2 linked regions of the Oryzias latipes genome follow. The protein of the gene in region 1 interacts with the protein of each later gene in a biochemical or structural test. Links are inferred from orthologs where the notes say so. Each region holds a gene or a part of one and is shown on either strand. Other genes may lie near its edges.

What was found.
Region 2: the proteins of gabbr2 (region 1) and kctd12 form a complex in vitro, tested with the Homo sapiens proteins (2 studies listed by BioGRID). The link is inferred for Oryzias latipes from reciprocal best matches to the Homo sapiens genes GABBR2 and KCTD12.

Annotation. Positions count from the first base shown.
Region 1 is NC_019869.2:9,044,083-9,047,908, forward strand, and holds part of gabbr2 (gamma-aminobutyric acid type B receptor subunit 2), read left to right. Parts: intron 1-2,662; coding exon 2,663-2,780; intron 2,781-3,826. UniProt on the Homo sapiens protein: Component of a heterodimeric G-protein coupled receptor for GABA, formed by GABBR1 and GABBR2. Within the heterodimeric GABA receptor, only GABBR1 seems to bind agonists, while GABBR2 mediates coupling to G proteins.
Region 2 is NC_019879.2:8,398,243-8,402,489, reverse strand, and holds kctd12 (BTB/POZ domain-containing protein KCTD12), read left to right. Parts: upstream 1-1,468; 5' UTR 1,469-2,465; coding exon 2,466-3,338; 3' UTR 3,339-3,724; downstream 3,725-4,247. UniProt on the Homo sapiens protein: Auxiliary subunit of GABA-B receptors that determine the pharmacology and kinetics of the receptor response. Increases agonist potency and markedly alter the G-protein signaling of the receptors by accelerating onset and promoting desensitization.

The sequences.
Region 1 (3,826 bases):
TTTAGTCATAGAGTGCCAGGAGTTACATAAAAACTTCAGTTGATCCTTTTCCTATTGTGATAATCAGCATGAATTTTAGCCTAAAAATGTTTTTACACCAGGCTGTTGGGTATAGTTTATTTCTTGGATCACCTAATTCATTTAACAGGTGAAAAAGCTCTTTTGGACCTTTTGACGGCTGTGTGCCTCTGTGTTTGGCAATTTTGGAAAGTTGGGTTACATTGATAATCCACCTCATATAGCAACTGCCTGGAACGAGTCAATTCTGGTCCTCTTGAAATCAAGTATTCAGATTTTCTTGTAAGCTAACTCTGGTGGCGTTTTTGTCAGGGATAATGCTTGACAAGGTGTCCCTTTTCAAAATGAGGAAGTAATGGAGGAACGATGAAGAAGCGTAAACTGTTCGACACAAAGTATAGGCCACCTGCGTGTTCCCCCTACAGGTTGTTACCAACTGTAACGGCAGTTGTGATTCAAGCTACGCACTGGGAAGGTGATGCATGCTCAAGAAGACACTAAATGGGCATTCTTAAACACGGTTTTAGCGCTTGGTTTACACATTGGACTGTCTCTATCAAATACTGGCACATGTACATGTACTTGGAAGTTGGAAGGCGTGCGCAAACGGCAATTATTATTTCTCTGCCATGATCAATTTTCTGTCGGTTGGTGCTTCTGTGTTGTAACCCTTGTGCTATCCTAGGCACTTTAACGTTGGGAGTTGGGTCATCTAGACCCACTAGACAGTGCTCTGAACCTTTTTTCTACAATGATTTGTGATCTTCACTGGTGTCCATGGATTACATGAAATCTTTCCACCTTTATCCACCTTTGTCATGGTAGGGAGAACACGTCAATGTAAGGGTGGGGTCATCTAAGATAGCACAAGGGTTAAAAAGGACACTACCTATAAGTCACAGATAAAGCGGAGTCCCTGATTGGTCAAAGTTCAACTGGTTTTCCTTTTAGGGCACAGTCAATGGCCAGGTACAGCCCAGAAAATGATTTCAAAAGCTTGCAGAAGCCCCAAAAACACATTTACATAGACTTACATAAACTAACATAGTCTTTTTATTGCAAGTGGTCGCTTGAATGTGCATTTCTGAACCCGGGTGAATCTGGCATAAGGCTTGAGGATCAAATCGACAACACAAATTGTGCTGTGTGTGTGGTGTATAGGCCATTAGTGTAAAATGCTAGTTAAATAGACCACTACACATCTTACAGGTGGTGTTACATGTACTTGTTGCGCGTACCTGGTGTAACCTAAAAACCTAATGTCTATTTAATCTTAATTTCTGTTTATTTCAAGACCCTAAATAGAAAAAGGTTTGGGGTTGTGGAATTGTTTCACAACATGATAGACAAGATCAGACAAGTAGGTTCATTCTTGAACACACCCCCAAACCAAAATGTGAACAATTTTAGCTTTTTTTCCACAATTAAATCCTGTTTGCTAAACTTTCATGTATAAAGTACCTTCAGACAGCAGGTCCTAATGCCTTTGTCCACTCACCATTAAATTAGTTTCTGTGTTGAGTTTTCATGTTCTCCTCATGCATGTGGGGTTTTCCTCCCACAGCCCAAAAAACATACTCGACAGGTTATTTTGTGATTCTGAAAGTGCCACTTAGGTGTGAGTGAATGTGGTGGTCTGTCTCTGTGTGGCCCCGTGATAAACTGGCAAACAAGGTGGATCCCTGCTGGGATAGTCTCTAGATACCCTGGAAGAGGGAAAAACGGGTTTGGAAAATGGATAGATTGATGGATATTTGAATCAGTGTGGACGGTGTCAGTAAATTCTGACACAGAATCCACAATGCTATCACTTCATTGAATTTAGCTGAGCTAACTTGCAATGTCAAGATCTACAGCCGGTGTGCTAGATCACTTGTGCTTGGTATTTTTTTTTAACATGTTTTAAATTCTGCTACTCAAATGTAATTAAGATCAATTATCCATCCATATTTAGAACCAACTAAATCCCATTTGGAGTTGCTGGAGCAAACACAGCTCCTTTTGGGCGAAGGTTACAAACCCTGAACAGGTCACCGGGCTGTTGCAGGGCTAAAATAAGTGATTTAAAAAGTAATTAAAATAGAACTTTCAAAATGCTTCTGACTCAACTTGAATTTATACTAGATTATGCATTATTCAGAGTAAAAACAGCACTGGAATAGTTCAACCAAATGTCCAGTTGGGGAAAGGAGCACTGATATCACAGAATAGGACCAACAAGACTTGACAAATCTGGGACAAGTGTGGCACTAAAAAGGGAACACCTTAAAAATACTCCAAAGGATGATCAGCGTGGGACTTTAACCCCGTGCTATCTTGTGGGGTCCAGATGACCCCACCCTTACATTGACATGTTATCCCTACCATGACAAAGGTGGATAAAGGTGAAAAGGATTTCATGTAATCCATGGACACCAGTGAAGATCACAAATCATTGAAGAAAAAAGGTTCAGCGCCAATCCCAACGCCACCGTGCCTCCAAGGCACGTTAACGTTGGGAGTGGGATCATCTGGACCCCACAAGACAGCACAAGGGTTAAAACAAAAGGCATGCTTCCTTCCTTGGGTGTCCATAAAAGCAGAGAAACAAAGTACAACAGGGTTTCTGACAGATTAACCCATTATTAAACATCCTCCCTTGCAGATGGAGAGAAGTCGATATTGAAGAACCACCTGGAGCAGAAACCACAAGCCCAGTGGGGCTCCATGGATCCTTCTCGAATCAACAGAGGTCCCCTGGAGGATATCAACTCGCCCGAACAGTGAGATCTCCCATTTTTTTAGCACTATACTCCTCCCATCTTGTTTTTTTTATTCTTCTGTTCTGCCAGCTTTTTTTTTTTAATCAGAAGTCACAGAACATGCAGCACAACCATGAGCAGCTCTCAGGCGGTTGCTCTGGCAACAGATCCATGTGAAACAAAGACTTGTACTTCGCTCTCCCACATCCATCAACATACTCATATCCATAATAGTATGTATGTGGGCTACATTCTTAAAATAATGCAGTTTATTCTAACACACAAGAACACATAGACATCGCTGATTTGATTTCCCATCTTCAAACGACAGATATCTTGGACAATTAAAACAGCCAATGTCCATGCCACTTTACTCATCATTCAAAAAGATCTAACATCAAAGGGTGGTGGTGGTGGTGGTGGGGGGGGGGTCATTCATTTTTGAGACGTCGGCATTGGTTTTAGCTTAAAGCTAAATGAATTAAGGACAGCTGACAAAGAAGATGCAGTAGTTGGAGTGAAGAAGATACTGGAATAAGATGGAATAAGACAGAAGCTGTTTAGACCAAAAAGTGAGGAGGAAGAACCTCACAGAGGCTTATGTAACCAGTGATTTACAGCTTGCATTGGGAAGCAGCTCTGAAAATAGACAGGGAGGAGAAAAGAAGTAAAGCAACACTCAGAGCTATTCCCATGGCACATGAATGTTTGATCACATGCAGGGAAGAGGTAGCAGGAGAGAAGGTAAAAAGGACCAAGAGACAAATATAAAGACCTCAGAAAAGAGTTATAAGTACTAGGAACTGGAGCCCAGTAAATGTATTTACCATTGTATCTTCAACATCATCCTCTAAATGCACGTAAATATAGTGTGCTGCATCTGTGTCAAACATGAAACACCCAAAAATGAAATAAAAACTTTCATGAGCAAGAAAGTTAGTCATTCACTTTACTGTAGAAGAGGGTCCAAAAACAGTTTATATTTCAAATTATTATTCTTGTTCTAGGTTTCTCACTGAACAAAATTAATTTTCATTACTTGCATTTTAGTATTTTGCCAAAATTTT
Region 2 (4,247 bases), on another chromosome or scaffold:
AGGAGACTGAGGTCCTGGTGTTTCTTTCCTGGCTGGCGTGTGGCACATCTTACGGTGTGGTACCCAGAGCCTTTGACATGCCACGGTCCACTGTGAGCGACCCATGAGGAATGTGGTTCAGGCCCGTTCCAACCAGCACCACGCCAAGGCATGCTCTGTGGTGGAGAGAGGATTTGGCATTATGAAGATGAGGAGGAGAGCAATATTTCTGGGGGCACTGGAAGTAAAACCAACCTTTGCAATGAAAATCATTGCCTGCAGTTCAGTTCTGCACAATCAGGCATCAGCGAAGGGGACTGCTTGGAGCCACAAATGTTGAGCCACAGCAGGAACCAGTAGGACGGGTAAAGTGGCGTCCGTCTGCGAGGACAAATCTCTGCTTTCCTTTCAGCTCCAACTGTGACACACATGACTCTAGAAGACCAGTATTATTGTTAAGATGTATAAAAATAAATGTTAACATATAAAACGAAAATGTAAATATGTACATTTGATATTTATATGAAAATTCTTTTGAGATTGTTAAAAATGGCTCAGATTTAAATAATACATGTAAATAATTCATTTTTGTTACTGCATTTATTAAACAAATTGCAAAAACAACGACGACGTTACATTTTGTGAACAATATTTTAAACTCAGGTAAGCTTAACAGACTCTCCTGTCACTCTTTGTCCCTTCGTGCTCTTTCCTCCTCTCCTCTTTCAACAACAACCTTTACCCCAACATGACAACGATTACAGTTTAATGATAAATAAATACAAATCTGATAAGTGTGTCTTACTCCCATCCGGCACGAGCTTGCCTGATAACAAACAGGCCATCCACAGATGGAACAGATTTTCCTTATCCTCGTCAGTCCCTACATATATAAACACATTTGAAAAATGTGTTAATAACTTATTACTATGGTTAGAACTCACTCATTTATTTATGTAATATCAACAGCGTTTGTTTTTAGCATTCGGCGCTAATTCGCGCTAGCGTTAGCATTACCGAAATTGAAGAGCTTCAAAACAATGTAGATAGTCGATTGAGGAATATAACATAGTAAACACATCATCTTACGTATTTACAAATATATTTTACAACAGATACTTGATACTTTTAAATGTACTTACATTTTTAAGTCCTCTTTCTTGCGCAACCGTCCGCCATCTTCGAATAATTCAAGCGCAGTGTATTGTGGGACACGCAATGAATTCTGGTATGAATGCAGTGCATTCTGGGCAATATTCGCCGATCGAGTGAGCATCGATCCACACTGGTTTTTCGTAGAGAATTCTGGGAAATTTCTAGTGCACATGATTTTTGAACTGTAGATTCGGACAGCACTACAAAATGGCGACCGCACTATATAGTGCACTATATAGGGGTTAGGGCGGTAATTCGGACACAGCCCAGGACTCCCTTGAAAAAGAGGTTTTTAATCTCAACGGGACTTTCCTGGTTAAATAAAAGTTAAATAAAAATAAATATCTCTGCCAAACCACCTGGTAACCAATCAGTGAAAGCTGATTCACTGTGGCGACTCTAGTAGGGAAATGCCAAAACGTGAAGAACAACATTTAGGACAAAACTGGATGTGAAGCCTATCGAGACGACTGTTGTTGTGAATTTGGGCTATACAAATCAAATTGAATTGAATTGATTGTGGACCTGATTGGTGTCTGAACTATTTTAACATTATGCATTTCTCGAGTTTGGTATTTTTCTGAAACTGATGTTGTTATTTTTTTTACACCTATTTTTTCAGAATTTTTGCAATAATCTTCAGCGAACTTTTTAACGATGTCATTCTGTAATGTGCCTTTTTTTTTTCCATTTTAAAATGGAAGGAAATTCTGTCCATCAATTTAAGCAGACTGCCGTTGCACATTCTGAACTCCTGCCAAGTTTTTAGCTTCGGCCACTGCAGCGACAATAATAACAGTAAATTACATACAACCAAAGGGGTTTTAAAAACTGAAACATGAAAGGCAGAATAAAATGAGACCAAACACTGGGGGGCCCAAGATTGGCCCTGGATCATGCCTTGGACACGCAGCAATGGACAACAGAGCCAAACAGGGCTGCACTTCCCCCTCACGCCAAAGGGGGTCACTTTTTCCCTACACGTGTGAGGAATCAGCTGGAATCAGCTCATGGACTCTGGTGTCAGGTCTTCCGTAATCCCATCAGAATGTGGGATTCTGTGCAGAACTGCTGAATGGGATGACATACGGATGGAGATAGAAAAATGCGCCCCCTCCTCCTCCCCCTCTCCCACAGATTTACTCTTTATCTTGAGTGGCATGGAGGGGTGGGCGCTGCAAAGACGCACGTTGCAAAACAGCCACTCAGTGGTTAAATGATTTGGCATCACTCGTGTGCACGCGCCCACACGCACGTCGTGGACTTCATAAGCCGCCACCAGTCTGCATCGCCGCGTTTCCATCGAATCATCCGTCCGTGGCGCGCAGACCATGGCACTGGCCGACACGGAGCGCACAGCGTCCAGCTGCGGGGATCCAAGCGCCGCGTTTTCAGAGATCATCGAGCTGAACGTCGGCGGTCAGGTCTATGTGACCAGACACAAAACTCTCGTCGCAGTCCCAGATTCACTCCTGTGGAACATGTTCAGCAAGAAGTCACCCAAGGAGCTGGCGAGAGACAGCAAGGGGCGCTTCTTTCTGGACAGGGATGGCTTCTTGTTCCGCTACATCCTCGACTACCTCCGGGACTTGAACTTGGTACTCCCGGACTACTTCCCGGAGAAAAGTCGGCTCCAGAGGGAGGCGGACTTTTTCCAGCTGCGAGACCTGGCGAAGCGCCTCAGCCCGCGGGTGAGTAAGGACAACTCCATCTGCGAGGAGATCATCAACCAGAGCGACACGGAGGACGGCGGGCTGCAGTGCTGCTCCACCTCCGGGGGCATCGACACTTTACGCGCCGCGTCCGTCAGCGGAGCCATGCGCTCCCCGTCCCTGGACTCCAGAAAATCCGGCTACATCACGATAGGATACCGAGGGTCGTACACCATTGGCAGAGACATCCAGACTGACGCCAAATTCCGGAGAGTGGCGCGCATCACCGTGTGCGGGAAGACCTCTCTGGCCAAAGAAGTGTTTGGAGAGACGCTGAACGAGAGCAGGGACCCTGACAGGCCCCCGGAGAGATACACATCCCGCTACTACCTGAAGTATAATTTCTTAGAGCAGGCGTTTGACAAGCTGACAGAAGCGGGCTTCCACATGGTGGCCTGCAGCTCCACAGGCACCTGCGCCTACACCAGCAACGATCCAAACGAGGACAAAATATGGACAAGCTACACTGAATATGTATTCTGCAGAGAATAACCAAAAGGGGGGCTTATTGTGTAAATATAAACATCACAATCTAGCAGGAGAAACAATAGAATAAATAAAAATATTCCTAAATTAGATTTGGGTTTTCCACTCTAGATGATGTGGAGGAAAAGGCTAAAGAAAGTGAGCCTAATTTGAATTGACTTTCATCCAAACCACCACATTAACATGATCTTCATTTCAAAGCTCAGTGTTTTCCTTCATATCTGACTCTGCTGTGAACTGAGATGAGCTTCAGTTAGTATTCAGTGTCCTTTCTATGCTTGTCGGACCAAATTTACCCTTTCAGAGAAGTTCTTTCACTGTCATGATTGTAAGTGTACCTGTTGTGTTGTATTTAGTATGTTCAGATGAAATAAAGTCATTTACTCTTTCAATATAAGCCCAAAAAAAAAGCCAACCATCTTCCATCACCAGCCTTTGAAATCCTGTGGTGAAGTAAGAATTCTCCTCAGACACAGAAATCCCAGCAGTTGTTGTGGTTCTGTTCACTGAACCAGCCTCCACATCTGAATATCGCTAACATGCGAACACAGAAAGAGGTTTTCTTTCTTTCTTTCTTTCTTCTTCTAGCTGAATCATTTTGTCACACAAATTCAGCTGCATGTGCATGCAAATAGTGCAGCTGTGCACACATGATGTCATTATCATTTGAAGTGTAAATAATGAAAGGGTCCAGCTGCACACAAACAGGAGGGTGCAGCCCGCCAGGGCCTGTGGATGAATGGAAGGTTGATAACAGCGCACTGATACGTCCAAACAGGATGAAAAAAAGCTCTAAGACATATAAACTATGGCTGTAATTAGAGGACACGAGAGGTCTGAGCATGCACTTGCAGAGCAATCCTTTGGAGATGTTCCATTCTGCTCACAATAGCATTATTTGGACAGCAACGCTGA